Ovis aries: one gene and its partners. The protein of the gene in region 1 purifies or fractionates together with the protein of each later gene. This does not show direct contact. Links are inferred from orthologs where the notes say so. Each region holds a gene or a part of one and is shown on either strand. Other genes may lie near its edges.

What was found.
Region 2: the proteins of KAT5 (region 1) and ATM purify together in Homo sapiens (affinity purification with western blotting; 3 studies listed by BioGRID). This does not show direct contact. The link is inferred for Ovis aries from reciprocal best matches to the Homo sapiens genes KAT5 and ATM.
Region 3: the proteins of KAT5 (region 1) and SIRT1 purify together in Homo sapiens (affinity purification with western blotting; 3 studies listed by BioGRID). This does not show direct contact. The link is inferred for Ovis aries from reciprocal best matches to the Homo sapiens genes KAT5 and SIRT1.
Region 4: the proteins of KAT5 (region 1) and H2AZ1 purify together in Homo sapiens (affinity purification with mass spectrometry; 6 studies listed by BioGRID and IntAct, with this or other methods). This does not show direct contact. The link is inferred for Ovis aries from reciprocal best matches to the Homo sapiens genes KAT5 and H2AZ1.
Region 5: the proteins of KAT5 (region 1) and EPC2 purify together in Homo sapiens (affinity purification with mass spectrometry; 3 studies listed by BioGRID and IntAct, counting the BioPlex papers as one, with this or other methods). This does not show direct contact. The link is inferred for Ovis aries from reciprocal best matches to the Homo sapiens genes KAT5 and EPC2.
Region 6: the proteins of KAT5 (region 1) and MRGBP purify together in Homo sapiens (co-immunoprecipitation; 8 studies listed by BioGRID and IntAct, counting the BioPlex papers as one, with this or other methods). This does not show direct contact. The link is inferred for Ovis aries from reciprocal best matches to the Homo sapiens genes KAT5 and MRGBP.

The regions. Positions count from the first base shown.
Region 1 is NC_056074.1:40,324,007-40,328,150, forward strand, and holds the end of KAT5 (histone acetyltransferase KAT5), read left to right. Parts: coding exon 1-4; intron 5-1,881; coding exon 1,882-2,041; intron 2,042-2,172; coding exon 2,173-2,254; intron 2,255-2,346; coding exon 2,347-2,481; 3' UTR 2,482-2,898; downstream 2,899-4,144. Other genes in the region: RNASEH2C (ribonuclease H2 subunit C), read right to left, coding at 3,258-3,464, 3,551-3,729, 3,921-4,092. UniProt on the Homo sapiens protein: Catalytic subunit of the NuA4 histone acetyltransferase complex, a multiprotein complex involved in transcriptional activation of select genes principally by acetylation of nucleosomal histones H2A and H4.
Region 2 is NC_056068.1:17,632,921-17,638,036, reverse strand, and holds part of ATM (serine-protein kinase ATM), read right to left. Parts: intron 4,157-5,116; coding exon 3,922-4,156; intron 3,452-3,921; coding exon 3,284-3,451; intron 1,488-3,283; coding exon 1,374-1,487; intron 823-1,373; coding exon 605-822; intron 116-604; coding exon 1-115.
Region 3 is NC_056078.1:23,658,055-23,663,170, forward strand, and holds part of SIRT1 (NAD-dependent protein deacetylase sirtuin-1), read left to right. Parts: intron 1-1,556; coding exon 1,557-1,885; 3' UTR 1,886-5,116. UniProt on the Homo sapiens protein: NAD-dependent protein deacetylase that links transcriptional regulation directly to intracellular energetics and participates in the coordination of several separated cellular functions such as cell cycle, response to DNA damage, metabolism, apoptosis and autophagy.
Region 4 is NC_056059.1:25,066,425-25,072,165, reverse strand, and holds H2AZ1 (histone H2A.Z), read right to left. Parts: upstream 3,225-5,741; 5' UTR 3,121-3,224; coding exon 3,118-3,120; intron 2,675-3,117; coding exon 2,597-2,674; intron 2,316-2,596; coding exon 2,202-2,315; intron 1,851-2,201; coding exon 1,721-1,850; intron 1,473-1,720; coding exon 1,411-1,472; 3' UTR 1,040-1,410; downstream 1-1,039. UniProt on the Homo sapiens protein: Variant histone H2A which replaces conventional H2A in a subset of nucleosomes. Nucleosomes wrap and compact DNA into chromatin, limiting DNA accessibility to the cellular machineries which require DNA as a template.
Region 5 is NC_056055.1:160,798,430-160,803,545, forward strand, and holds part of EPC2 (enhancer of polycomb homolog 2), read right to left. Parts: intron 3,276-5,116; coding exon 3,127-3,275; intron 2,450-3,126; coding exon 2,317-2,449; intron 219-2,316; coding exon 27-218; intron 1-26. UniProt on the Homo sapiens protein: May play a role in transcription or DNA repair.
Region 6 is NC_056066.1:54,280,594-54,286,327, forward strand, and holds the start of MRGBP (MRG/MORF4L-binding protein), read right to left. Parts: upstream 3,915-5,734; 5' UTR 3,761-3,914; coding exon 3,613-3,760; intron 3,120-3,612; coding exon 2,998-3,119; intron 1,265-2,997; coding exon 1,183-1,264; intron 934-1,182; coding exon 859-933; intron 450-858; coding exon 262-449; 3' UTR 1-261.

The DNA of each region.
Region 1 (4,144 bases):
TTCAGTGAGTACTTGCGCTGCTGCTCGGGGGCCGGGGGCCAGGGTGGGAGCAGGCAGGCCCAGGCCCCTGGGCTGTACACACAGACGGATGGGGCTGCTGTGTTCCCAGCCCTGGCCTTGCAGTCCGGTCACCGGGGGAACTGGCCAGGAATAAAGGTGGGCCCCTCCCAAGGTTCTCTCCGTTCTGCGGTGACTCCCCTGTTCGTCTGCACTAGGCTCTCAGTCCCTCGTAGTTCCTTGGCCATGGTGCTGAGCACCACTCAGCTGTTCCCAAATCTGACTCATCAGCCCCTGCCCAGGGCCATGGGCAGAAGCTGAGTGAGCCACTCTTGATCAGCTGTCTGGGCCTGTGCAGTTGTACACGTTCCTGGGCAAGGACCTGTGGCTCATTTCTCCACTTGTCGCCTGAGCCTTGCAGACAGTGGATGTCACGTCAACATGACTCACAGGGGACCTGGCCTCTGCCCTTTGTCAAATGTGAACTCTGCATTGGCCTCCAAGGCCCCTTTCGCTGCCCAGCCTCCTCCCCTCATTCTGTTCACCTCACTGTTCACTGCACCCTTGGGATAACCAAGCTCTGACCTGGGAGATGAGGAGGGAGCCTTGGCTCCCTGATGAAGACGTGGAAGCCTGACTTGATCACAGGTCACCTTGAGAAGTTTTATTGGTAGAAAGATGCCAAGATGGGGTCACATCTTCAGGAAGCCCTCTGTCTGGCAGGGCAGGAGGATGCTTAGGAAACTCAGCTTAAGCCTTAGAGCTCAGACCCAGTGGAGATGGGATGTGTGCGGGGCCACCAAGGAGACGTGCTCACTGTGCCTGGCAGGAGCAGACAGGATACCAGAAGCACCAGTTCAGGCAGCTCCTGGGGGCAGGGGGTATTCACTGGGAGGGGCCAGGAGTCCCTGCCACTAAGGAGGCAAGCGTGGCCTCCAGTTGATTGGTCAGGACTCTGCACGCACACCTGCCCAGCAAAGCTGAGTGAGAACTCCAGTGTGCCCCTTCTCTCTTCCCTGCTTCCTGCCTCCAAAGCAGAGGCCTCTCTGTCCTCCCCACCAGGCTTTTTGGTGGAAGTCACAGGAGGTTGGGCAAGAGGGTCAGACTGGCTAATAAAGACGTATCAAGGGGAAAGCAGAAAGGCTACGCTCCAACACAAGGCTCGTGATGACTGAGGGTGAAGAAGGGCTTCTAGAAATAGTGGAGACATCTCAGGGCCCTGATGGGAAAAATGACTCTGTCCAACAGATGTGAAACTGCTCAGGGTTTTGCAGGGCTTGAGGGTCTCACCAGGAACTGCCTGCTCAGTGGTCACCCGCGTAGGAGGGCAGAGCAGTAGAATTGGGAGGGAGAGCGCCCTGGCAAAGGCAGTTACTGCTGAGGAATGGCCTCCTCTGACTGGGAAGTGCTTTGGCATCACTCCCCTTAATTCCTCCCAGCCACCCAGCCTGGTCTTAGAGCCGCTGATGGTTCTCTGTTCACAGCTGGGGGACTGTTATGACTGAGAATCTGAGCATCCTCAGGCCTGGACCAGAGGTGGGGCCTGGCCCACTTTTCTCCTCACATACCCAGTGTGGTAGGACCGAGGAAAACTGGAGGCACTTTCTTTCCACAAGCCATTCTCTGCACTTCCCCGTCCCACCTGTAAGCCCTTGCTGGCTCCTGGTTGACTGTAGCTTCAGCACACAGCTGAAGAGTAGGCGTGCTAGTCCTTTAGAGCAAACTAAGGCACTGAACAGACAAGCCACATACCCAGACCACAGAACCACCACGTGGCAGGCCCAAGACGGGGCCATGCAGTCTGCCCGATCGCCTGCGTTCTTAAGACACTAGTGGCATAATACTGTGATCGTTTATCCACCTCCTCCTGCTCCATTGCTTTAGGCTATGAACTCTCCAAAGTGGAAGGGAAAACGGGGACCCCTGAGAAGCCCCTCTCGGACCTTGGCCTCCTGTCCTACCGAAGCTACTGGTCCCAGACCATCCTGGAGATCTTGATGGGGTTGAAGTCAGAGAGCGGGGAGAGGCCACAGATCACCATCAAGTGAGCCTGGCCCTGCCTACCCCGGGGTGCATGGCATGACCTTCTGTTCCCGGGCTTTCTCAATCCTTGGGCTACTGGGGCCTGGGCAGAGATGGAGGCCCCCAGGGGACCTGATCTTTGCCCTCCCACAGTGAGATCAGTGAAATCACCAGCATCAAGAAGGAGGATGTCATATCCACTCTACAGTACCTCAACCTCATCAACTACTACAAGGTAGGGAGGCAGGCAGGGGGAGACAGGTGTGTGCAGGGATCCCGAGTACAGGCCCGCCTGAGCTGACCTGCCTGGCCCCATCTCCCGTCCAGGGCCAGTATATCCTCACCCTGTCGGAGGACATCGTGGATGGGCACGAACGGGCTATGCTCAAACGGCTTCTTCGGATCGACTCCAAGTGTCTGCACTTCACTCCCAAGGACTGGAGCAAGAGGGGAAAGTGGTGACCGGACGCTGCCCGGGGAATGCCAGCAAAGGCAGCAGAACTGAAGCTGGCAGCCATCTCGCCCCCAGCAGGGTCTCCAAGAGGCACACCAAGGGAGACAGGGCTGAGGACCACTCCAAAAGGAGAGGACGGGCCTGGTCAAGGCTAGCTGGTGCCCAGCACCAAGGCGAGCTCAGGGCTCATGGCAACTCCACGGTCAGCTGGCTGCAGGCCCAGGCCTGCTGTGAACCAGGGACCAGAGGGAGCCAGGCAGCTGTGTATATAGTAAGAGGGGTGGGTGGGGTGCCTTGTACAGAGGACTGACGGCTGTACAAATTTCTTTTGTAAAGTAGGAGCTGGGGTGTGGTGGGTACTGGTTGCAAAATTATGGCCTCTTCTGCCCCATTGCCCCCTGGCAATAAATTGTTCCTAGAGGTCAGAGCTATGGAAGGTTCTGTGGGAGAAGGGGCAGTGTTGGCAAACTCACAGGTTCTGTGAAAAGCTCCTTTATTGGGTGAAGGACTCTGGCTTCACACTGGGGTGAGGGGTTCGGTGGCTTTCAATGTCAAGCTCTGGTTCTCAGTCTTCGGGTACCTGTGCGTGAATCTGCAACAGGAATCACCTCTACTATTGGATTTCTGCAGTATAGTGACTGGGTGGCCCAGATATTCAGAATCATAGCCCTTCTAGAAGGCCAGAGAAGAGTGCTGGGGAAGCCATGCTGTCCCTACCCAGTCTAATCCTCCAGTCAGACTGGGTCTCCATCTGCCCCATTGTTCGCCCCAGCCCCAAATTCACTCAGGCTGGGGTGGGGCCGGGGGTGGGGGGGGGTGGGTTCGGTGTTAGATAAAGCCTGGGAGGGAGAGGGCCCATCCATCTACTCACCGCTGCAGCGAGGCTGGGCCAGCTTAGGGCCCCACGCAGTTTGGCATCCGGACCAGGGATAGATTCCAGGCCCCACACGGTGAAGCTGCTGAAGCTGGCTGTGGCTCCCATAAAGCGGTCCTGGGGGCCGGGAAGGGGCCCTGGCTCAGCATCCGGGCTGCGGTTCCCACCCGGGCTCCCTTCCAACCCTATCCCCCAGTGCTCACGCAGTCCCGCTCCAGCGCCTCGGGGGGTTCCTCCAGTTCCTGCTCTTCTCGCTCGTGGTCATCCTGCTTCACCACCAACACTTCTGCCTTCTCTTCTGTCATCACATATCCCACGAAGTCGGGCGGCACCACCACCTCCTCGCCACGTAGACTACGGCCCCTAAACGACGCTTCCAGTCCTGGAGGAGGCAGAAGCAGGGAGGGCCTCTGAGGGTCTGACCCAGGCCTAAGGGAGCAAGCCCGGTGGCGGTCCGCCCGCCGCCTCCGGTGGACCACGATCCCCAGGAGGCCTGGCGGCGTTCCTCGCGGAGGAGAGCGCGATGCTGGCGCGGGGGCCGCCGGGAGCCGTAGTCCGGCCGCGAGGGCTCACCGTCGGAACCCAGGCGGATGGCTGGGGTGAAGAAGCGCCCCACCGGCGTGGGCCGGTTAACCGGGACCTCGCAGGGCAGAAGGTGCAGCGAGGCGGGGGCGGGATCGCGCAGTGTATCAGGGCGCAGGTGGACGCGGCGTTTGTCGATGGTCTCCTCGTAGCTGTTCTCCATAGTCCGTCACTACTCTGCAGCTCGCAGGCTGAGGCCAAAGCTGGCGCGCAAA
Region 2 (5,116 bases), on another chromosome or scaffold:
TAAGCAATTGATGTAATTTTCAACTGCTTTACATAAGAAACGTTTACGATCCTCTTTCAATGCACGGAGTGCACATTCATCCAACTCTAGCTCTCGCTGAACCTTTACTGTGTATCTTACATTGGATAATTAAAATAAAACACAAAAGCTGTTAAATTTTATAGAACTACAAAATCAAATAAGATATAAAATATAAATGAAAAATCAGGTGTCCATCTTTGGAGAAAAAGCAACATTCTAAGAATTATAAAGAGAATAAACTTACTTTTGTCTTTAAGTTTCTGCAATTCAAAAGCTATTTTAGGCAACCAAAGTAGACTCTATGCAAGGTATTTCATTAACTTTATTTTCTACTTACACTAAAATATATATAAAAGCAGGTTTGAAAAAAGTATTTAATTACATCAAACTAAGTAACTCCTCTCTAATTTCAACACATATCTCTTTTTCAACTATGATACCAACAAACAAACTAAAAAAGCAAAACAAAAAGTTAACACCAGTATATTTCACAATTAGTATAGAGCCACAGCATGAATTCCTATCTGGTTCTGTATACCTGTATAAATACTGTATATCTTGTTACTTGTAGACCCTCAGTTACCTGTTGGTCTGGATTTTATGTTCCCTAAGTAGGCCAACTTCCTCCTTGGCTCTTTTCAGAAGAGCTTGCTTATTTTCAAATTCTGAGGATTTCATGTAGTTTTCAATTCTTTGGTATTGAGTATCTGAGAACCGTGCTAATGAGAGAAATGCCTTCATTTTTCCATTTCTCAGGCCATCATTGCTTTCTCCATCATAATTTTCAGCAACTTCCACAGCCTTCAAGAAAAAAACAATCCATTTATATTTACAGATACTAAATGCATCTAAAGAATTACTCAGATCAAAGAAATATCCACAGTAAAATTTAACATATATATATGTATATAAGCTAAATTATACAAAATACAGTACTTTGAGTTTTCAAAACAATTTTGACAGAGCAGAAACAACAAATAGCTAATATGTGTAAAGAATGGTACAAAAACATAAAGCTCTATAAAACTAAAAAAACATATTAGGCTTTTCATGTTCATTTATTAGTAAAGTAGCTATTTTAAAAATTAAACTATATGAATAAGAGGGAGAAACAGGAAGCTCAAAGGTGGTAGAAGCACTGGGTTGAGAAGATCCCGTGGAGGAGGGCATGGCAACCCACTCCAGTATTCTTGCCTGGAGAATCCCACGGACACAGGAGCCTAGCAGGCTACAATCCATGGAGTTGTTAAGACTTGGACACCACTGAGCAACTTTCACTTCATTTCACTTCTATGAAAAGATCAAATGTATTTATGCTAAGCGATTCTATTAGGGTTCCTCAAAAACCTTACCTTTTCTAGATAGGTCTGCATGATGACTGCAGGATTTTCTAAGCAAGTTTCTGCTAACCAAGTGCCACAAACTCTTAGACATTCTGTGTATATAAGTTTTAAGTTGGGATCATTCTGTAAAGGAAAGCAAAGTCTTAAAATGTAATTCATTATCATGACTGTACAAAAATATCTTCCATGTAGGAAAAAAACAGGTTAAAAATGTCTTTCATCATTTGCTTTCAACTTACAACTATTTTAATAATTCCAAATATTTACCTTTATAAAATAATCATTCTCTACTACTAGTACTATTATTACTATTATTGAAACAACTCACATATATTGAGTACTTTTATATGATTGGCATTATTACTATATAAAATAATATATAATAATTCAGTTAATCCTCACAAGAATCCTATGAAATAAGAACAATTATTATCCTTAATTAGAAAACTACAACTGAAGTACAAAGAGGGTAGGTAACTTCAGGGTCCATCAGTTCAGTTCAGTTGCTTAGCTGTGTCCAACTCTTTGCGACCCTATGGACTGCAGCACGCCAGGCCTCCCTGTCCATCACCAACTCCTGGAGTTTACTCAACATCCTATCCATTGAGTCGGTGATGCCATTCAACTATCTCATCCTCTGTCATTCCCTTCTCCTCCTGCCTTCAATCTTTCCCAGTATCAGGGTCTTTTCCAATGAGTCAACTCTTCACATCAGGTGGCCAAAGGATTGGAGTTTCAGCTTCAACATCAGTCCCTCCAATGAACACTCAGGATTGATCTCCTTTAGGATGGACTGGATAGATCTCCTTGCAGTCCAAGGGACTCTCAAGAGTCTTCTCCAACACCACAGTTCAAAAGGATCAATTCTTCGGCCCTCAGCTTTCTTTACAGTCCAACTCTCACATCCATACATGACTACTGGAAAATCCATAGCTTTGACTAGATGGACCTTTGTTGGCAAAGTAAAGTCTCTGCTTTTTAATATGCTAAGTTTGTCATAGCTTTTCTTCCAAGGAGCAGGGTCTTTTAATTTCATAGCTGCCAAAACCATTTGCAGTGATTTTGGAGCCCCAAAACACAAAGACAGACACTGTTTCTCCTGTTTTCCCATCTATTTGCTATGAAGTGATGGGACTGGATGCCATGATCTTAGTTTTCAGGGTCCATACTGTTAAGCAATATTTAAAAAATCATACCATGTGAGCTCCCAGGGCTTGGTATAATGATACATTCTCTAATAAAGGAGGATGTTCTACAAGTTTCCATTATCCAAAAGTACAAAATGTTGATATTCACCTAGTAGGTATATGTCAGAGGGATATCACTGAGTCCAAACCTTTAAAATACTTCATGATTCCTACAAATGCTGCTAAATTTGTCCATCATATGCTGGAGACAGAGTTGAAGAAGCAATCAAGTTTATAACAACTAATATAAAATATATATGTACATTATAGGTAATGGTAGATAAAATATCAGATGTGATGTTTTCAGGGTCTTTGAATTGACCACCTAATTATTTCAACTTGCCTTTTAAAAAAAGTTTTATTCTCTTATGCATTTCCTCTTGCACTTTTTGTCATTTCAGATCTATAGTGTCTATTTCATCTTTGTTTCCCACACACCCTCCTTGATTACTGTAGAAAGTTTTAAAAAAATAAGGCTTATAATTGGGATGAATTAATCTATGATGAGATGGACTGATAGAAATGTTGTAAATAGGAAAACTGAATACTGTCTAAACTTTTACAAATACTAATTTTCAAGACTCCTTTTTATAATTTCTTGTTCATGGATCAGTAATTTCAAATCTTTAATAAAATTAGTAATTATATTAAATTTTATTTAAAATATTATAAAGCACAGTAATCTTTCTTATTACAGTAAAAACTAATTCAACCAATAGAAAAAAAGTGAACCTCTGTACAACTGGCATCCAGCTTCTTGATCATTTGCTTGAGAATACTCAGGGCAAGACTCTGTTCCTTTTTTGCCCAGAATACTTGTGCCTCCTCCAGTTGCCACTCAGAGACTCCACTACTAGCTGAATTATACTGTTTAATTTGAAATATTGCCCTTTCAGGGAGCTGAAATGAAAATAAAAAATGGAAATAAACATTTTTACTATTACTACTACTACTTCTACTACTACTGATAAAAGCAGTAAGGACTTGACAATTTTTAAGATTGTCTTGTAAGTGCATCTCTGCCTTCCCTAGCCCCCATATCTGCCTATCTGTTTTTCTCTTTACATAGAGACACATATAATTATGTGTGTGTTTATACACAGTATATACAATCACTGAAATGTTATACATATAGAAAGTTAGGTAGCTCCTCATTATTTAACCAGGAAATTGAGGATTAGAGAAAGACTTGTGCAAGACTCAAATTCAGGTCTAATTCCAAAAGGAGAAATCTTAAACAACTATGCTATACAATGTTATAATAGCAATCTGTCTCTCAATGACATTTCTTTTTACTTATGCTTTCTATTTTCTAGGTAATAAAAAGGCAAGGTCAACGAGTGAGATGACATAGTTTTAAATCTGATTACCTGTGTGTTCTTGAAAGTTCGGGCTAATACAGAGAGTTCTACGAGATGCTTGGTGAGAATGTCCTTCAAACACTCTCTTTGGGAGTTTTCCATTTCCTTTTCCATCAAGATCTCCAAAATGACTGTGCGTAGGGCCATTATAGGCTCCTGAAAACTAAAATCACTGTCTTTGAGAAGCTGGGAATGTTTCCACCACTTCATGTACACTTCAGAGGGCTGCCTATCTGTTACCGATCTGAAAGCCAAACCACAAGGTTCACATTAGCAACAGAAATGAAAAAAGGGTGCTATTATGCAGGTTCTAAAACTTAAGATTTAATAAACACTAAAGGAATTTTTGCAGCAACATGACTGGAACTTCTAAAATAAACCAAAAGAAGAATCAAAGTTTAGAAATCTACAATATGGTCAGACCTCGGAAGGTCAGTCAGCAGAGAACCCAACAGACGATGAACATTTTAAAATTTTCTTTCTTTTTAAAATTGAAGCATAGTTGATTTACAATACTATAGTAGTTTCAGGTATATAGAAGAGCGATTCAATATTTTTATATAGATGCTACTTTTAAGGTATTCTTAAAAATACTCTTCAACCTCGCAAAAAGCAGCACTTTTAAATTACCATTCTTCTGAAATGAGAACGCATTTATCAGGCCTCTCATTCAGAACATCTACACCTCTAGTACAACTTCAATGATCCTCAAAGAGGACCGTCACCAAGGAAATGAAATAAACTCATTATCTACCGTACCCATCAGGCACAGGGCATGACTCTGCAAAACTGTAGCTATTAAAGCAAGCACAATCCAATGAAGGAAATGCTGGCATCTGGCAAAGGTTTCATATACCAATATTATTTATTAAAGGAAGAGAAAATACATCTTGTACAATTAGTTCATATGAGCAGAGTGCTTCCCAGGTGTTCAAATTAAGCAATACTGTCCAATCCTTCAGGAGTACTATACGGGGAGAAATCAAGATAAATGAAGCAGGGAAACTAAGATGATGACCTTAAGGTGATGTAGGAAATGAAAGTTCTTTTAGTTGCTTGATGAAGAACGAAACAGTAACACAAACTCACAGGAACCAAAACTTTAATTCCTCCCAAAATGATCTTAAGAGCAGCAAGTCTCAAATTTTTTAATCTCAGGAAATCCTTTATACCAGCACTCCCCAACCTTTTTGGTACCAGGGAT
Region 3 (5,116 bases), on another chromosome or scaffold:
TCTGCCCCAGAAAATTGGTATACCTTGGTTTTATTCTGCTAATTTAGACCTTTAAAGATACAGGCTTCAGAATTTGACTGCATTGTCATATCTACCTCTCATAGCATTGTGAGCATTTGAAAAGATAACTGATGAATGTAAAACTTAACACTTTTAACTGCTTAAACCAAACAACTGATGTTTACTCATTTTCGTTTGCGACCATTTGTAGTGAGGTCAGGGCTGAAAAGGAGGAAGTTGGAACATATAAGAAGTAAAATGTGAATATCGTAAAGGTAAGATTGCCAGTAGGACAGAAACAGGTACAGGGTACTTGAACTGAGAAATAGATTGTTCAGTTCTTCAGGGGGCCAGGGCAGAATGAACTGTTTTTTAATAAACCTGTAAAAGGGCAGGACAGCCATGTGCTGGGACCCCTTAGAAGACTGGCTCCTAGGATGTGATTTAGAGGAGATGGTCCTGTTAAAAATCACAAGATGTGGTGGTCTGCCAGCAGCTAGAATGCAGGTACTCAACTCCCTTCTCCAATCACTGACACACCATGTGGTTTTCATGGTGCAAAACATGGGTTATTCCAGAGTGAGAACTGGATCAAGATAGGGTCTTTAAAAAGCTTGGAAGTCATTTTGAAGAGAAACTTAATTACTCCAGATGAACTATGCAGTACTCAGCTTTTGTGAATCAGTCTGGGCTCTTAAGAGCCTTGACCTGGGAGAGTGTCACTCTGGCTTAGAGGAGAGAGGGGAAGGCTCCTCACCATGAGAGGTCAAATCTTACACTGCGAATGCTAATTTGGGAGGGCTTTGCAAAAGAAAGCTTAACAGTGCTTTAACTGTTAGGACTTTAACTGTTTAACACTTTAACATGATAGGACTCATAGAAAAATAGCTTCTGATTCAGAGGGTGGGTGGTGGCTGGATATTTCATCTCAACAAATCTCAAAGGAGTTGGTTAAGTAAGCCTCATTGAACATGGCTCTCTACAATTTTTTTTTTCATACTTACCTCATAGGGTTTGAAAATTACTTCATACCCAGATGAGGAAATTGAGGCATAGAGATAACACTCCCAATTTGCAAAGTTTGTGAGTGGCAGAACTAAGATTTCTACCCAGTACTGAGTGCTTCTATAGCTTGTTGTTGAGAAACTATATATAATAATAGCCTCTAGTAGTGATACTCGGAGAAGGCAGTGGCACCCCACTCCAGTACTCTTGCCTGGAAAATCCCATGGATGGAGGAGCCTGGTAGGCTGCAGTCCATGGGGTTACTAAGAGTCGGACATGACTGAGCAGCTTCACTTTCACTTTTCACTTTCATGCATTGGAGAAGGAAATGGCAACCCACTCCAGTGTTCTTGCCTGGAGAATCCCAGGGATGGGGGAGCCTGGAGGGCTGCCGTCTGTGGGATTGCAGAGTCAGACACGACTGAAGCGACTTAGCAGCAGTAGTGATACTCAGGTAAAAGGTTAGAACCTACGCTTGTCCAAACAGCACAATCATACTAAGTCTTAGGAAACTGGAAATAACCCATTTTTCTCCTATTACTGTATTTCAGATAATCAGTATCTGTTTTTACCACCAAACCGTTACATTTTCCATGGCGCTGAGGTGTATTCCGACTCTGAAGATGATGTCTTATCCTCTAGTTCTTGCGGCAGTAACACTGATAGTGGAACATGCCAGAGTCCAAGTTTAGAAGAACCCATGGAGGATGAAAGTGAGAATGAAGAATTTTACAATGGTTTGGAAGATGATGCTGATATTAATGAGAGAGCCGGAGGAACTGTATTTGAAGCTGATGGAGGTGATCAAGAGGCAGTTAATGAAGCTATATCCGTGAAACAGGAAGCAACATGCATTAACTATCCATCAAACAAATCATAATATAGTAATTGTCCAGGTACAGAAATTGTTCCACCAGCATTAGGATCTTTAGCATGTCAAATTGAATGTTTACTTGTGAACTCAATAGAGCAAGGAAACCAGAAAGGTATAATATTTATAGACTGGTAAAACAGATTTCCCCCCAATGGGTAATTTTTAACTTCTTATTTCTGTGCTTATACACTCAAACACTAACTTTTTTTTTTAAGGTACGTAAGTATCTTTAGTCAGCTATTGGACTAGACTTTGTTAAAGGTTCATTTGTATGATACATCGACATGTATATATAATTTTGTTTTTGCCTAGTGAGTTTCAACATTTCAGTCTTCAAAAAGCCATTGGAATGTTAAATTAATGTAAAGGGAACAGCTTATCTAGACCAAAGAATGGTATTTTCACACTTTTTGTTGTAACATTGAATGGTTTGAAATCCTCAAATCTGTTCTGCGAAACGTTTGATTCTTTATTAGCACAATTACCTATTTTTAAACACTGGCATTTTCCAAAACTTGTGGCAGCTAACTTTTTAAAAATCTCATGACATGCAATGTGAGAAGGAAGTCAACCATATGTGGGAGAGCACTCAGTTGTCTTTGCCTTTTTAAAATGAAACTTGGTGCTAACAGTTTCAGAAATGTATCGTTCAAATGAAGATGGCTTTTGTACTTCCTGTGGACATGTAGTAATGTCTATATTGGCTCATAAAACTAACTTAAAAAATAAATGCTTTGGAAATGTTTCAGTTGCTTTAGAAACAATAGTACCTGCCTGGGTCCCCTTAGTTTTGAGAATATTTGCCATTGTTGTTTAAACACCTGTCACTGTGGTAGAGCTTGCATTGATCCTTTCCACAAGTATTAAACTGCCAATGTCAATCTGCAAAGCCTTTATGAATCAATAATAATGGTACTTCAGCTGGGGAGAGTGTAATATTTGGGGCTGTTGCCTTTTTTGCCCATTAATGAGAGCAACAGACCCCGGTTACGGTTCCAAAGCCAGTAAGTACATGTTTCCTGTCGGGAGGACTTGGTGTTAAGAAACACCAAACATACTAGCCTAGTATTATGGAGATGAACGTGATGTAACTTGTAATAGCAGAATAGTTAATGAAACTAGTTCCTATAATGTCTTTATTTAAAAGCTTAGCCTGCCTTAAAACTAGAGAACAACTTTTTCAGCTGCAGAAGCTTCTAGCCTTTCAACAAAAGTTCATACTTTATAAAACTGCACAGTAATGATTAATTTTCCAGACCTTTCCCCAACATTGCTTTCAAAAAGTATTTTTATGTTGCTTTAGTATTTATTACAGTTTAACAAGAAAGGTTTGAAAAACAGCTGTTCTTAAGCTTAAAATATCCAGCTAGGACCATTACTGCCAGAGAAAAAGATTTTATTGAATGGCCATTTCCCTACCTAAAAGATGTTTCAATCTGAATTTGACTACACTAAAGAATGCAGTATATTTAGTTTTCCATTTGCATGATCTGTGTGTGTGCTATAGATGATATTTTAAATTGAAAAATTTGTTTTAAATTATTTTTACAGTGAAGACTGTTTCCAGCTCTTTTTATATTGTACATAGTCTTTTATGTAATCTACTGGCATATGTTTTGTAGACTGTTTAATGACTGGATATCTTCCTCAATCTTTTGAAATACAGAACCAGTGTTTTATACTTGTACACTGTTTTAAGTCTATTAAAATTGTCATTTGACTTTTTTTCTGTTAGCTTACACTGTTTAAGGTAAAAACTTTAAAAATTGTGCAGCTTTTGTACAGCTTTGAGGGCTATTAGATGCTACATTTTTTTTTTCAGTTTATATACAAGTTAGTACTAAAATAGTACTAAAAGTGCTGGTTGTAGTAACTGGTGAAAGTGAAGTCAGTCGTGTCCAACTGTTTGCGACCCCATGGACTGTAGCCTATCAGGCTCCTCCGTCCATGGGATTTTCTAGGCAAGAGTGCTGGAGTGGATTGCCATTTCCTTCTCCAGGGTATCTTCCTGACCCAGGAATCAAACCTGGGTCTCCTGCATTGCAGGCAGACGCTTTACCATCTGAGCCACCAGGGAAGCTCCTGTAGTAACTGTACATCACCAAAATGTCCTGTTCTAGACCAGGAGCCTTCCCCCTCTCACTAACCCTGCCTAAGAATAACTGGGAAAGGTTGAAGGCAAGAGGACGAGGAGGCAGCAAAGGACGAGATCTGAGCAAGCAGCAGAACCTGAGCAAGGTCCGGGAGATACTGGAGGACAGAGAGGAGCCTGGCATGCTGAAGTCCATGGGGTTGCAGAGTTGGATATGACATGAGCCTGAGTGAACTTCGGGAGTTGGTGATGGACAGGGAGGCCTGGCATGCTGCAATTCATGGGGTCGCAAAGAGTTGGACACGACTGAGCGACTGAACTGAACTAGCGACTAAAAGAATAGCTAATTTTTGACATGAAACACTTGACAAAGGACCAGGACTTTGGATTAGGGAGATGAGGTAATGGCGGGACTGTAGCGAACTCAAGACCAAAAGGAGCAGACGAAAAATGACTTGATCATATTTGGTGTGGCCTTTCTTAGGCTACCCAGAAATCTAGTATTCAGGAGGGTAGAAACGTGCCCCTTTACAGAGATGTAATGAATAAATGTGGCCATTTCCTGCCTTCGGGTCTCTTTGAAGGGAATGAAACAATCCAAAAAACTCTCTGCCCCTGTATATCTTGTTTGCACTAGAAAAAATACCTGTGAAATTCCATATATGCACAAAATAGGAAAGTAGTTCTTAATGAGGGTGTCATTTCGAATAATTGAATACCTAGCAAAACCTGACTTAAAGCCATGGATTCAATGCTCTTTCCACTTTGGTTGGTGGGTGTATCATATTCCAGGGATACACTGTTTAATCAGCATCTTCCTCAGTGGCACAAAAGAATGATGTATTTCACCTACCTGCTAAAGCATTATCTGATAAATTTTATTTGAAACAAGTTTCAATTCCTAATCAAAGGTTCTTGCCACTCCTTAAAAGTAAACAGTCAGCCTTAGGATGCTAGGAGAAATGGTCTCATGACACCCCTGCCGCCTCCCACCCCCAAGCTACTCTCAACTGGGATTAAAAGTAACCTGGTGAATTTTGGAAAGTAACCTGAGCTGTCACCTCTTAGAGATGGCATCTAATTGGCCAAAGGTGAAGTTTACATAATAGTAAACAGTAGCCCCAGGTGATATATAGTATGAGTTA
Region 4 (5,741 bases), on another chromosome or scaffold:
CCCCCTTCAGCCTAGGTCAGACTAGGGAGAATTCGGTCAGTTGAGGACCGGGCTGCCAGTCCCTGGGCACCGCTTCCGGCACAGCTGTTCAGGAACCCAGTAGGGTGTCCTTTGACCCTAATTCCCGTTTCATTGCCTTATTTCATTCATACTCTTTCTGACTCAGTGCCATTAAACTGTCTCTTAGTACATCCCAAGAAGTACAAACACTTAATTTGTAGTTTGCACTTATTCTGGTGAAAACCAAAACGCTACTAACCATGACCAAAACAGGACAGGAATCAGCTCTTTGGCAATGTATTACCTCATATAGGTAAACTTGGTATACCTAATTTTAATCATCACCCTTGTGAAATAATTGCCATGCTGGTATCCTCAGTGGAGGCAAAGGGCCCACCTTTTGCTTGGTATTAAGAAGTTGCCAGAAAGTGTCAAAATGATCCACTTAACCTAATTACAAAGTAACTACTTTCACACGTTGTTCACTAAAGATATTGTCTGCCATAGCAGCAAACATGGTAACTCAGGACTTTAAAAAATCTTGATTCTCTGTTAAATGTGAATAGTATGTTCCCCAAAGATGTTACCATATACTGAACAATTTAATGCAAGTAAACTTCAAAAGAGCGTGTAGCACACTGCAAACATTATCAGTCTAAACTGAAAAGTTTAGACTGTGTAGGCAGCTGCATATAGGACCTTCCTACCTGGCCTCTGCTCCCCAACCCCACCCAAGTCCCCACAGTGCGCTGGTGTAGTGCTTGCTGCTATCACAAACAGCAAACAAAGCTGATGAACTCAGATGGTTAAACTTAGCCTAAAAAACATCAACTTGTGCTGAAGTTTTAAAATCTTTTAATAGTTCATTACAATGTATTTAAAAAAAAAAAACTTGGGCCTTTTAACTTTGTTGATCTACAGACAGAATTAACAGTAATTTCAAGGGAAGAAATGTGCTTAAGTTATTGCTAGCTAAGATACCTATTCAAAACAAAGCTGTTCCTACTATAATCAAGCAAATTTTATACACAACTAGTTTGGGATATGACCTTTATTGAGCTTATCCACCAGAGTGGAAATAATGTCTGTACAAAACCAAATGTTTGTTACTATAACTTCTGCATCACAATTAAAATCCAAACAGTTTTTTAAAAACAGTCAACTCAATCAAAACCCACTACTTCAGAATCAATAGCTTCTTTGAAGCCACAGTAACACTTAAATATGGTTAAGACTCAAATGCAGAAATTTGGTTGGTTGGAAAGCTAATTAAACTTCCAACTTTCTCAAATAGAATTACAAAAAGGCAAAATTGTGTTTTTCACAGAGATACAGTCCACTGGAATCACCAACACTGGACAGCTGTTAGAGTATTTAGAGTCCTGAGATAATAAGGAATCCAGGCATCCTTTAGACAGTCTTCTGTTGTCCTTTCTTTCCAATCAGAGATTTGTGGATGTGTGGAATGACACCTAGAAAAGGGATAAAATAACATACTACTTTAAAACCAAGAGTTTAATGTTCAACTTGGAAGATGTCTTTCAATGTAAGCGCAGAGTAAAAATTCAGAAGTACGTAAGAGAAATCAAATTTCATGATGCAACCATACTACAGATCAATGAAAATATACTGTGTCCTCTTTTAGACTGAAAATTACTAGAGGGAAATTTAAAAGCAAATTCTTTTCTCTAGAGAAATTTATAAGTTAATATTTACATACCACCACCAGCAATTGTAGCCTTGATGAGAGAGTCCAATTCTTCATCTCCACGAATAGCAAGTTGCAAATGACGAGGGGTAATACGCTTTACCTTCAAGTCTTTCGATGCATTTCCTGCCAATTCAAGTACCTAGAAGGCAAAATGCGATCAATCTCCTTCCAACTTTCATTAACGTCAAGATCCAGACAAGAATCAAACCTTCATGATGAAGGTATATCTACCAACTGTCATCTCCCCCACTACCTGAATGGCAAGATAAGCAAAAGCCATAAAGAGGGCACGCAATTTTATTTCCTAAGGCCGCAAAGTCAAGCTCAGGAGGATCCCCATCATGATCACCAGCCCCCTCTAGCGTTGTCGGAAGCTTCTCGCTGCGTACAGAGCCTGGGAGTTTTCTTGCATCACTTTCCTCCTTCCCTCTCGCCGCCTCCCCCCACCCCCTCCCAACCTTTTCCAGATTATAGGCGTACACCCATTTACCTCTGCGGTGAGGTACTCCAGGATGGCTGCGCTGTACACAGCGGCAGTCGCGCCCACACGTCCATGGCTAGTCGTCCTAGATTTGAGGTGTCGATGAATACGGCCCACTGGGAACTTCGTTTTTAGCATACACAAACATAAATGCACAAAGATAGACGAGCCAAAGATAATTAATTATACGCGCGCCAAAGGCAGGGTCATGGACGCCGGTGCAGCAACGCGCCCCACCACAGACACACGTGATCGCCCCCCCCCGATATTTATTGCATCGGTAAACCAAGTCGCGACACTATCACCCACGCAAAGACGAAACGCTCATCTAGAGCGATGATAAACAAGAGAGGAAAAGGAAAGAAAAACGCCACGATTCCCAGAATGCACGAACAACCACTGACCTGCAAACCGGCTCTCTGCGAGCGGGAAACCGCCTTTGTCTTGGCCTTTCCGGAGTCCTTCCCAGCCTTACCGCCAGCCTGCGGCGCGCACACGCCCGCGAGCGAAGGAGGAACGCAGAATATAGGATTACCAGAGCAGCGCGCCCTTCCCCCACCGCGCCGCGGCTCGGGCGCGAGCGCGGCCCCGTGCCCAGCCGGGGTCTCCGGCCCGCGGCGCGCCGCAAGGGCGACCCCGCCCGCCCGTCCCCCGCCGCGCGCTCGGCGCGGCCGCGCGCCTCGGTCCGCCTGCTCGCCGCCCGCCGGCCCCCAGCGGCGCTGCGCGCGCCACCCAACCGTCACCGCCCGCCGCGAGATCCGAGGCTGCTCCGCTCGCCGCCGACAAAACACCTCCCCTTGCTCTTCCAAATCCTGTCTCCGCGCGTTCCCAACCGTCGCCGCTTCACCCCCATCTCCGTGTGTAACGGGTTTTTCTCCCGCCGGCAAAAACCCGCGGAGTCTTCGAGCGTCTCCACCAAGTTTACCATTTCGAATTCTGCTGAAGCTCAAACAAGCAAAGCAGAGAAAGGACTAGTCAGACACCCAGCGAGAACCAGCCGCCTACTCCTTCGTCGCACCGCGATTCAAACTGCGCTGTCTCCCGCCTTCCCCGCTCCCTTTATACTGCAGAATGTTCCCTCATCCGGGAACTCGGATTGCTCATCCCACCAATGGCTGCCCCCCGCCCTCGGGACGCGTCCTTGAAGCTTCAGCCAATGAGAAAGCGAAGAAAAGGGCGGAGGGGCGGGCGCTTCACAGCTCGAATCCCTATTGGAGCATGCGGAAGGAGGGGGGGAGGGCGGAGGGATTGGAACTGGGGAGAAGAAGGGCACAGCGGCGGGAGGGAAGAAACAGAGCGAGCTATGCTGCGGGAGCTAGGCGAGCCCCCCCCAACCCCGCCCCGGCTGTGGTCACGTGTCCGAGAGGCGGAGTTGAGAGGCTCAGGGGAGGGGCACGCAGTATCGCGCACCCTACCATCACCCGTTCGCCTTCGTCTCCTAGCCTGATTCCAGAGACCACGTGAAGTCTCCGCGGGGTCTAGCGCGCCCCACTTCCTGCCCTCCCCTTCCAAATGAGCGCCTCGAAGGCAGAGACCCAGCAGTCCACAGCCTTCTCCCGAGGCCCGGGGTACTCTTTTCCCTGGTACCCTCAGCATCGCCCAGCTTTTTCAGTCTGACAGGTGGCGCGAACGCGTCCGGTGAGAGGAGCCCCAATTCCTTCCCTGACCACAGTCTTGATAGTGATTTCAGTCTTCTAACCCCCCTGGGCGAGTCTCGAGCCACCGACTGATCATGATCCACTGCTCCCACGTCATTTTCAGTTCTAACTCCCTCGTCTTTCCTCACCATTTTTGAATGCCTTAACCACCCCCTCCACCCCAGTGGGATACTTTCACGGGAAAAACGGTGATGAAAGCCCCCTTGCTGGTCAGAAAAGACACTTCAGTCTACCCCTAGAGGGCTTGGAGTGAGACGATATTCTTCAATCAAATCATAACCCGTGTCTTTCTGGAGATTACACATCAATGGGTTGTACCTATAGCCTGGTGTCTAAAGTTGATTTAATGAAACCTCAAAGCTATTCTGTATCAACTTTTCTATGCTAAACAGTTTGCTACATGACAAATGTTCTGTAAATGTCAGTGGGGTAACTTCTAACGTGATTCAAGGACAGTTACAGATGGTCCATGTAATCAGTTGCAAATGATGGGCTTAAAAAATAGTACTGTACACACAGCACTATCATAATGCCAGCTACATAGTCGTCCAACTAATAGATTAATAACACCTGTGTACATGTCCAGCTGCTTGAAGACAGTAATGATCTGTCTTTTATATTTATAGCATTTAATAGTGTATTACATATTAAATATATTTCTGATGTCCAAAAGTTTTAATATATGTATTCTCAAGTACTGTAGTTTGAGTTTCAGTTTGAAAGATTTTATCCAATTAGAGGACCCTTCCATAGCTGGTAGATAAGTAAGTTCCAGTGAAGGAGTTCCCAACAATTTGACAGAGAGTTTTGTTATTTTCTTCCCCTTACAAATGAGAAATTTTTACATTGTAATCAGTAGCAAGAGTTAATCAGTTCTCCCACTGAATTGTTACAATGACATTTAAAAACTGTGAAACCTGATGTAATAGTTACTCTGAGCTCTGCTGAGGCTTCCTGATATGTACTTTAGAAACCGACATTAATACCTTTTCCAGTTTGGATAATATGTACTCTTTCCTATGAGATCCAGCTAAAGGAATTCACTGTTGCCTCACTGAACCGTGCTTAAGAGAATGTGCTCTGGAGCAAGAAGACGAGAACTCTGCTCTGCTTCCTTCTCAGTGTGTCATCTTAGTTACTTTTTGGAGCTTCAAGTTTCTCTTCGATGAAAAGAGTACAGTAACGCCTATTCTCAGGTAGTTGTTGAAAGAGTAAAGGAGAGGTATGCAATGTATGCTCCAACGTGTGTTTGTCACATAGCAGCAGATGATAATGATGGTGTCCTCTGCATTGGATGTGGGGAAGGATGAAATAAAGTATCTTTGATTCCTAAATCTTTTCCTCTGTCTACCACACCGTCTTCCTTGGACATGAAAGTAAAAAGCCGCAATGCAAGCCTGAAACCCACCTAGGCCCCCTGCATTGGGAGAGCAGAGTCTTAGCCACTGGGCTGCCAGGGAAGTCCCCACTTTAATTTTAGATTGCCTATCACTTGCTGAAATGGATCTTAACTGTTACAGTAAGGCAACAACCTAAATCTTGGGGAAAGAAAGCACACTTTACTCTGCAGCACTGAGAAACCCATCACTATTTCTGAGAAGGGGAGAATACAGTGTTCCTCAATTTGAAGGTACTAATTTAGCATGGAGTAAAAGCCAAATCATAAAAGAGAAAATTTTTGTGAGAAGACTGATGTATGTCATAAAGCTGATGTATGTCATTTAGGTATGAACCCTAAAACCATGTAACACTGAAACCAAGACAAGGATGTAAAATCTTGAAGGAAGACTGAGTAATATTTACTAACTCGGTGTGGCATTTAAGAAAGCGTAGGAAGGATAAAGTGTAAATGAGAAAGGGCATACAAGAAGATCCTCAGGTTTTTTAGATT
Region 5 (5,116 bases), on another chromosome or scaffold:
CTGTAAAATAGTTTTAAAACAAGCACCTGTGGAAATTCATCTTCCTCTGAGCTGTGAAAGTCATATTGCTTAAGGTCACTCTTATTGATCACAGGCAAGGTCTCAGGAGTGGGCTGCTGAGATGTTAGCACAGCCTCTGCTTTAGGCTTCTTTGGGTACTTCTTCTTTTGACGAACCACATCAGAAGCCTCTTCTTTCAAAGACAAATGATGCGGGTGCTGTTTACATGATGATTTTTCCCCCAAAAGGAAGAAATGAAAATAATTTTAGAAATCATAAAAAACTATACTGCTCTTTGAAAAAACATACATTTTTACCCAGGAGGTAATTTATTTTCTGGTTTTAATATGCAGAAACTACTATTTGATGATAAGCCAAAAAGTGCTTTGCTTTCACAAATTATAGTGAAAAATATTATGACATTTAAATTTACTTTATATTGTTAGCAATACTTTAAACTAAGATATTAGTGATTTTTTAAAATTCCTCTATTATTATGCAATCCAGTATTTAAAATGTATTTAAATTCTATTTTAATTTTATTTAAGTCTACTGATTAATGATGAAAATTAACTATTTTTACTTCTAAAATGACTTGAATTAGATTATAAATACATTAATTCATTTCTATGCTTATTTCCAATTTTAAAAAATATCTACAAGTGGAATAACTTTTCTGAGACAGAAAAGTTCACTTTTTAGAATTAATTACCACCTCAGCTGAACAATAATCAAACTGTCTTCAAGTACCCTAGAGTTCTTTGGTGGCATACAAGAGGCTGTCTGGCAGAGACATCTCTGGCAGAGATGGGTGGAGTTTAGAACCCAGCTATCCTCAAGAGAGCAGCTGTTTCTGTTTTAATATACTGGCATTCCTTTTAATAAATAAGAATCTACTTTAAAAAGTTTGAAAATTACTGTTCTAAGCATCAAATTACAAGCGCTAACAAAGTGTCAAAGTATTTAGGAAGTTTTACATTTTTTCAAGTAGCTCAGATTTTCATTAAAACTACTTTAGGGTCAAAAATGTTATACATAATGAAAACATTGCTGAAACACTGAGTTATTGAGATATAAATGCTTTCATACAATGGGCATGGCTATGACATCAAAAAGAAATCCCCAACTTCTCAGAAATTACTTATATTTTCAAGAAGGATGTGTGACAAATGAAATATAGTTAACTATGTGAAATGCAATCATATTTCTAAAATTAGTATTTAAATAGTGTGGGTGTTTAATTTTAGAGTGATCTAAGATTAAGAATCAACATATAACAAAGGCTGATTCTGCACTAATTTGGGGTTGAGATTTTCATATTCTCTGCCTATCAATAATATACCTAGGAAAAGCATTGATTTAGAACTGGATTTTAAAAAGTAATGTACAAAATGACATTTATTGTCTGGTTTATGGCAAAGTAAGTGTGATTTAAAGGGTAGGTGGGCTAGATGCCTGTGATTAATAAGAAAGAACTTTGGTGTTTGAATTGACACAGTTGAATAATGGAGGAGTCTCCCTACTCCACATTCTTCCTTGACCTTTAAGAAAGAACCCATGAAAAATGAGGATTGTGCACATTTTTAAAAGATGAATTTTCCACAAACACCCTAAGCCATTTTTAAAATCCTGCTACACAGTAGAGCTCTACTGTCTAAAAACTCAGCCAATAACATGTTTCTTTTTAAAAATCTAAGCTCTTCAAAGGTTTTATTACTTTTTGCATTTCTCAACTGAATGCTTTTATATACCAAGTGAATAATGAATAAATGTGACTCTTCAGGCTAAGAAACTAATCACTAGTCTCTTTATTAGGAAAAAACTGAGTTCTAGAAGTTATAGGACTTTTTCAAGTCAAGATAAGCAGCAACTGATAAATGCTGGTTATGGCAATAGTGAGGACAGTAACTTTGAATAGTCTTAATGAAGACAGGTTTAATTTTGATGCCTGCCATCACAATGCAGGATTTGCTAAGGCAGTGATAATAACTAAGCTATAATTACCATTATTCTGTAGGGATACAAGATAGCATAGTTGAAAACACATGGTTTTTGTTTTAAGACCTAGACTCAAAATCTTAAATCTGCCACTTAATAACTATATGATCTAAAAGTCACACAGAGGTAAAAAATCTACCTCAAAGGGATGTTGTAAGATTAATCAATATGCATATAAAAAATCCTAGCAAAGTGCAAAAAGTAGGAACTCAAAAATGTTAGTAATCTTCCTTCTTAACCAAACTATTATAAGATAATTTCAGAAACCAATTGTCCAGTCAATATTATCATACATGCTTCTCCCCAGAAGATACTCACCTTAGTTTTACATTCTTGGACTTTGTGATGATTTCCATTATGAAGAGTTCCTGGAGTGGTATATAATTCTTTTTCTGATCTACTGATCTTCACTTCATTAAGGATTTCACCACCATAGTCTCCTAAATGATATCTTGAAAAGGAAATAATATATAAGAAAATCTTACCGTTCAAAAATAAAAAAGAAATAGAAAACCAATGATATATCATTTACTTGGAACACAACTAATCAAACAGAGCCAACAATTAATCGGATTATTCTTAAGAGAGAAAACGCATGGGAATAAAGAAGCTCATATTTGGGATTTAGTAAAAACAAAACAACTCCCTCTCCTAATCTCTAAGATACACAGAAGATGGACTCTTCATATATTTCGTATTTTCAGGAAAAGGATTATTACATTGGTGAATACATTTTCAAAATGCACCAAAACAAGTATTTCCTAACTAATCAAAAAATAAAATCAATTAAACTTTATTTCTCTCAAATTTTAATAGAAACTTTAATACAGAGAATGGGACTATACGATCTCCAAGTTCTTTTCTAAATACAATTAAATGATTCTGCAACAACAAGAAATTAAGTGTAACAGAGGATCTATACTATTCACAAAAATATCTCCCAAATTTGCAACCCAAACTGGCAACTTAATGGTTTAAAAACAAAAAGCAAAAACCAGCAATCACAATTTTCAAAAAATGTAGACATTGTTAGATAATCAATCTCAGTAGTTATAAAGCTGAAATTTGGTTACATTTTGCCTTTCATTTGACTGAAGCGTTACTGGTATGTAAGAACAGCAATGTTACCTTTTTTCCACAACTTCTAAGGTTAAGTGCAATAATTCTCGTTTTGTTTTCTCTCTTCTCTTAATCATTTCCAAAATTGTTATGGCTCTACTAAATTCTCGTCTCAGTTTCAACATCTTTTCATAAGAGGCTTCATCATTCTTTCGATTCTATTCAAAATAAGTTTAAAAGAATAAATCCAACTGTCCAGATTTCCAGCTTCATTCATCAAAATCTTATCAGACCCAAATTCATTCTATAAAAGCAAAATGTTACACTTACACACACACACACACACACATCTAAATAGCAATTACATTAAGACAAGCCATTTAACTAAAAACAAAAAAGCAAATATCTCAATAAATATGCAGGAAAAAAAGTTGCCAGCTATTGAAAAGATGGAATGACATAGATGGGATAATTCCAATATAAATAAAATTTTTAAAGTCTGCCTGAAACAAAAACTACTATTATCAAAAAATGTAATTTTTTCTTATTGTTACAAGGTCTTTCTCAATGACAGAGAGAAACAGTTCTGTTAAATCAAGGTTATCTAAAAACAGCCAAACTGAGCTGCTATTCATCCATTCAGCCTTTTAATAGTGGGCTGGACAGTTCAATACACTACAATGTAAAGATTCACAATGACAAGCAAAGCTTCACTTTAAAAACTCAGATGTAAAATAGATTACAGAATATAAAGGATCTCAAGGAATGGAATTACCATGCTGAACGTAGTAAAACCTCACTGCAGAGTAGAAAAGAGATCTACTAGTAAAAGGTCTGAGTTTCATTATAAATTCTTACTTTGAAGTGTCAAAAGTAACTTGAACTAACTCACAGGTAAAAGTTCAAACTAATAACTAGAGAAGGTTCAGTTATAATTACCAGCATCATGTGCATATAAAAGTTACTGTTAATAAAAATATTTTGTTCAATCAAACAGCCACAGAATTCTTACTTTCTATTAAGTGTGGAACTATCTGTTTAAAAATAGACCACTGCCACTCCTCATTCTATATGTTCAGACAGACTGCATTTAAGCAAGCTTTCCATACTTGACTTAATAAAGCAGTGTGACATTAGAAATCTGAACCCAAAGAAAGCCAGGTTTCATATCGGAGGATTATAAAAGAGAAAATAAAACTTGAGGAAGATACAAAGTTTTACTTTTTTCTTTTGTGTAGTTTCTTGTATTTGAAAATTACTCATTACCTATAAAACATTACTTAAACTAAATCTCATTAAGGTAGTGCATACTGAATATTAAAAGATACTATTAATAATAAATCACACTTTAATCTTATCCAAAGGAAATATATCACTTTCCCCCTTCAGTAAAGTATGTTACAAAAGACAAAAATCTAAAGCACAGTTTTAAGCAAAATATTCTGTAACCAGGGAGCAGCTGCACCTTATGATTGAAAAAAAGTGAACATAACCAAGAGCAAATATTAAAGTACAAAATACTTGAATATTTCAGTATTGCTCTCTGTAAAAAGTATTACACATGTCCCCTATCCTCAAAAGGCTTAAAGTCTAATAAGAATGAAAGAAATACAAGTTCTAAAGATAAATAACAGCAGCTGAAGAAAAAGTGCACCAGAACCTTTTAAAGTTGTCCTCCTCTTCACTAAATGTTTCTCTTGCACTATGCACTTCTGCCCCTTCTTACTCATTTCCTGCTCTCTTGAGGCCCAAATAAGTAGCTTCCCTAATTTTTCTTTACCCCACTCCTGCCCTTTTTTCTATTTTTACCTTTTATTGTGAAATAATTTCAGATTTACAAATAAGCTACAAAAATGGTATAAAAAATTCCCATATTATCTTCATCCAGACTCCCCAAAAGTTAATATGTTATATTTGCTTTATTATCTCTATGATGTATATATACATTGTTACAGACTGAATATTTGCATCTCCTGAAAATTCGTATGTTGAAATCCTAACTATCCAATGCGATTTTTATTTGGAGGGAGGGCTTTGGGAGTGCTCATGAATGGATCAG
Region 6 (5,734 bases), on another chromosome or scaffold:
GCCCATGCCAACGCTTGGCCCCAGGTGCAGCTGAGCCAATGCGATGGAACCCACGAGTGTCCAGAGAGGACGCGGCCTGGGCTCTCACGTCCCGGGTCTCAGCATCTGAGTGGGACCCGTCCTGGGCGTTGGGGGCCATCCGAGCTCAGACGGTCTGAGTGGCACCTCAGGAGCCTCTGGCCCCTGAGGGCAGGCAGCAGGGCCAGTGGCATTTGACCCTCCCACTGCCTGGAGACCACAGCACCCGCCTGCTGCGAGTATCTACGTCCGGCGCCGCTTGGCCGCGCTGGGGCTGGAGGGGTTGCTGTTGGCGGTCAGGACTTTGTCGGTGACCCTGCTGCGCTTCCGCTTGTCTGGCCCCTCTTTGGACCCCAAGTCTGAGTTGTTCTTTTCTTTGTCTTTGCTGGACTTTTCTGTTGCTTTCCCCAAGCTTCCTGAAGATGAAAAAACTGGGAGACAAAATCATTTGGCTGAAAACAGAATATCCAAAATTTTATTTCATCTTCCTGTTCAGTTACAAAAATCTATACCTATGTACATGACATTGACCCCAAAAGGCTCCTCCCTAGCTGGGGGTGCCTGCATGGCTGTGCCCATCTTTGCTTCTCGGGGTTCACCCTGCACTGAGAAGGCTGCCACCCATTCTACTTTAGTCAGGGAGCCTCCTGCACCCCCACCCCCCAGGGTTGGCTCCGAGAGTGACTCCCCTGTGTGAGAGGCTCTCTCCGAGCAGATGGAAGCTGCCTTCTCAGCTGCTGAGACAGACGAATGACCCCATTGCTAGTGATGGGGAGGCCTCGCTGGGCTAGGGTCCATGCCCCTGGGGCCCCAGGGTGGGAGGGCAAGCTCCACACTTACCATCATCAGCCCCGTTGTGGGGGTCCACATCTTCTTTCATTTCCTCTTTCATTTCCTCCTCGATGATTACTTTTCCTGTGGGGAGATGACCAATGATGACCTGGAGCCCGCAATGCTGAGTGCCGTGGCCCTGTCTGACCACAGTGGCTCAGGCCAAGGGCTGCTGACGACTTGGGAGGTGTCTGCCCCTGTCCTGGAGGCCCCCAGACCACCCCATCCTGGAGGGTGAGCACCACCCAACTACTGACCCTCACTCTCTGAGGCTCGTGACCTTCACCCTGACACCTTTTCCCATTCCCAAATCTGCCCTTGCCCGAGTCATACCTTCTCGGACTTCTTGAATGATTTCTTCTGGAAGGATGAAGTTCCTCTCTGGATTTGGGAACGGAAGAATCTCAGACTCGTGCTGATGACAAACAAGGGTGTTTTTTTTTTTAGAAGCAAAGAAGAAAATATGATTTTAAATATCACATTTAAAAGAAAATGTGACTAGAGATGTAAGAGCCAACTCAGGAGTGACCAATGAGCACAGATGGCTGTCCCGAGGGGCTGCAGTGGGCAGGCGTGGGGCCTGAGGCCTTTGTTCTCTCTCGTGGAAACCAGGCAAACAAAGCAAAATGGAGGAGCCACCAGGAATGCTCGCCAGGCTCCACTTGTTCCCCAGATCACGTAGGCCTGGAGGGACAGAGAGCCAGAAACACCACCACCAGACAAAGGGAAAGGTGAGCTGGTGGGAAGGGTCTCTGGGTTGGGAGGGGATTCAGGAGACAGGGCTTCTAGTCCCCAACTTGGGAGCTGAGCTGCAAGCCAGGTGGTCAGTGAGTAAGTGTGCCACCTGCCAGCTGGGAGCTTCACAAACCCCGAGAGCTCCTGGGCCCACGGTCATCCTGTGGGGTGAGATCCACAGACCCATATTTACAAGGTCCCAGGTGACCATGGCATCAGCTCTATAGCGGTGCTGGGGTCCAAGGAACTGAGGAAGGAAGGGCCACCTGTCCTGGACTGAGAGCCTCCCTGGTGGCCCCCACAGCAGAGTATCACCGTACCCTGTACGGGGCATCACTGCCTCAGCACCCTCTGAGCCAGCGTCTGCACTTGAGAGCCATCTGTCCTGTCTACCGCACCAAAGGCCCCTCAGGACAGGGGCCCTCCCATACTTGTCTCTGTGTCCAGCTTTGGGCCCCAGCCTGGAGTGGAGATGCAGGAAGCGTCTGGGGGCCAGGTGACACCCCAACATGACAAGCATGGGGGGTCCTGCCAAGCTGCTGAACACTGGAATTCTGGGGGAGTGGTGCCCCAACGGGTGGGCACAGCCCTTCGGGCGGCCTGCTTCAGTTCAACAGCTTGACCTCGAGTTCCTGGGTGCTAACTGCAGGCTCGGGGTCAGAGCAGTACTGTCATTTCTCTTCCTTCTCTGCCTTGGGACAAGGAGATGCAAACGACTTTCCCAAGGCCAACAGGGAACTTGTGGTGGTGAGGGTTAAGGACACAAGAGGGTCTGAGCTTCACTTAGAAGCTCAGGGTGGGAGGGAGGGAGGAGGGAGGGGCACAGGGTGGGGTGCGGGTGCAGCCCCGAGTCCTGACGCCTGCTGCCACAGGGCCCTGACTCCTGCTGTTCCTCTGCAGGGAACACCCACCTGTCTTTTCTGCTGTCCTGGTTACCAAGTTGACCTGCTCTCCCTCAGACCCAGCATCTGGGGGTTCCCTGAGGGTGGTCTTCCCTGAGGGTTGGCCTAGTTCTCACAGAAACCACCATGTTCATCTCAATGTGACTCAGACCCGGTCACCTCCCTGCTTATAGCACTCGGGAGTTTTCCACAGGACTGACAACCTAAGAGCCCCCTCCCACACAGGCCTCAGCTCCCTAGTTATCTCCTGGAAAGATCTTAACTGAACCTCGACTCCCCCCCAAAATCTAAGGTAGATTCAGTGCAATAACTAGCTACTGTCACCAAGCTTGTGTTTTCATAAAACTACCCAGAGCTATCTTGTTTAACAACTGGTCACCTGTGGGACATCCTGGATGTCAAGGTAGGACGTGGTTGGTGGTGGGGGGTGGGGGGGGTGGGGACAAAGGCAGGGTAGGCGGTGTGGAGGGGGCTCCCTGCCAGCAGCTCTGTCTGCGGGGGTCCAGCTCACCAGTGCCTGCATGTCATACATGGTGCTCAGGTGGTCCCAGATGACCTTGGATGGGACCTGCCGACCGATGTTCTGGCTGAACTTGTCTCGGATACAGATCATGTGGAAGTGCCGGTTCACCCCTGCAGAAGGAAGGGGTCGGCTTGTGGGGGAGGGGTAGGCCAGCTGGTAGGGTAGCGAAGAGGTAGGGGGCAAGGGGGAGAGAGCGGGCAGTGGTTGCAAGGGTGTAGGGAGGCAAAGGTGGAGGGTGGAAGAGGTAGGAGGTGCAGCGGAGAGAGGTGGGAGAGGAAAAGGCAGGGGTGTGCAGCGGAGGTGTAACGAGGGCACAGGGGTGGGGGTGCACGTGAGGGCTGGAGTCAGCCGGGATGGGTGGCTGGGCACAGGAAGGGGGCAGAGTCGGGTGGGGGTAGGGTATAGAAGGGGGCAGCGTGGGCAGGAGTGGGGGACTGCTGGAGGAAGCATGGATGGGGTGCGCAGGTGGGGGCAGGGTGCGCAGGTGAGGGCACGGTCGGCGGGGTGCAAGCGCAGGAGGCCCCGCCCAGCGCGCGTCCCCGACCGTTGCCGGCCGCCCCGCCCCCACGCGGGTGGGCCGCCCCGGCGCGGCGCTCTGCTCACCGACGGGCTTGTGGCCCAGCATGGCGTGGAAGAGGCACACCTCCACCTCGGGGCTCCACACCACCGTCTCCTCGGCCGGGCTGGTGGCAGCCTCCCCAGGGCCCTTGTCGCCGGCCGCGCCGCCGCCGCCCACCTCGGCCTCCCCCATGGCCCCGCCGCCCAGCGACGAGCCCCGGGCGGGAGCGGGCACGGCCACGAGCTCCGCGCAGGCGCACTCGCGGCGTGGGCGCGCGCTCGACGGGCTCGCTCTCGGACTCTCCCGCGGCGCAGGCGCAGGCGCAGCTGAGCGCTGGGTCGCCGCGCCCCCAGGCGGCACGGTCTCGCGGCGCAGCGCCGGCAGAGCAGGCGGATCAGGCGAAGGAGTGGGTTTGCGTAGATGGATGGAAATGCCCTAAATTAGATTGTGCCCGTAGCTGCACAGCTCGGGGTAAACCCCGCTGAACTCTGCGCTTACGATGGCGGGATTGCAAGCTGCACCTCAGTAAGAAGCAAAGAAGAAAAAGAACAGGCGACCTACAGTTCCTGCGAGTGGGGGCTCCAAGGGCTTCCACTGCCTCCAGCTGACCCTTGGCCTGAGCGCTGCACAGAGAGGCTCCTGCACACCGGGGCAGGGACGTCGGGGTACAGCCTTCCCGCCTGGGGCCTCCAGGGTGACCAGCATTGGGCCCTGGGGGTTAACCCTGGTCGGGAGGGGCGGGGCCAATGGGGCGGCCGGCCTGGGCAGTCAGGTGACAAGCTCAAAGCTGCGCCCAATCAAGACCGCCGGCTCCTCCCCGCCCCGCCCCGCCCCATCCCCGCCCCCGAGGGCTTCTCCCCGGCCCTTCTCCGTCAGGCCACGCCCACGCGGTGCTCCGGGCGGTTACCCAAGGCGAGGAGCGCTCTTGCTCTTCGTCTCCCCCTGGGTGTAGACATAGGGTCGGCCTTCCGGGTCCCTTTCTGGCTCTGCGGCTTGCCAGCCGTGTGAGCCAGGCAAAACGCTGAGCCTCTCCAGGCCGCAGGTGTCCTCCTTGCAGTGCAACTAACGGCGGCGCCTTATCCTGGGGTGCCCTGGGCACACGCTCGCGCTTCTTAGCCGGCATTCGGAACCGCTCTGGCCAGCCTCACCCCCGGAACAGTGGGGACTCAGTCTTGTCCTCCCTTGTGTGAAGAGCGCTGCTGGTGATGCCAGTCCCCACAGAGTGGGGACATGTGGCCCAGGGAGGATTTCAGTGACCCAGTGCCACCGGCTGTCCTGGAGCCACGATGTGGAGGGACATTGTGACTTTGCTGGGCCTGTGCTTCTTTCCTCTCTCTGACCCACAAGTGGGGCTCCCCTCAGGGCTTGCTGTGAGGTGGAATGGAGCACAGCCCAAAGCCACTTCACTCGGGCTCTGTCACACAGAAAGCACTAACAGACAGTGGCCCTCATCATTAATCTCCCTACACTTCCCAGACACTTCAGGGTCCCTGCTCCTCCACCAGGTCCACCTTCTGCTCATTCTATCCCCACCCAATTCCTGCCTTCTTCAATCTGGAGAGCCTCCTCCTCTAGGAAGCTACCCCTGATGCCCACAAGACAGCCTCAGCCCATCTGTGCCTCTCATGCAATCTCTTCCTCCTGCCTGGGGTCACCTGGGTGCTGGGCTGTGTTTTCGTTCTCTCTGGTGGCCACTGTAGCTGAGCTGTGTTCAGCCAGCAGCTGTGGTCCACAGACACCCGGTTCCTTTCATTCCAGGCAGATCCTAGAATGTGTATCTTCAGTCAGACTCGATGCAGAAAGACAGGTTGGATGATCTGGGCAAAAGGAAACTGCCTTCTCCACATCTTTCTTACATGAAGCCTCCTGGGTACTGCCCATTTGTCTGCTTCACCAGGTTTGTGTGGGACTGTCTCTACCCATGAGTATTAAGCCGACCTCTGTGCCCAGTGTCAGGGTGGAGCTAAATGCCATGCTCAGCTGCCAGGACTTTGCCTAATCCCAGTGATTTGGCTCATTTCTTTGTGTCCCACAGACATGAGTACAACTGGAGCCAGACTGAGGCCGGATTCAGGAATCTGAACACTGTGCCTGCACCTTTAGCCTCTGGGTTGTGATGAATCAGATGTCGGGCTTCAGATTACTGCATTGGTGATCCAGTGTGGG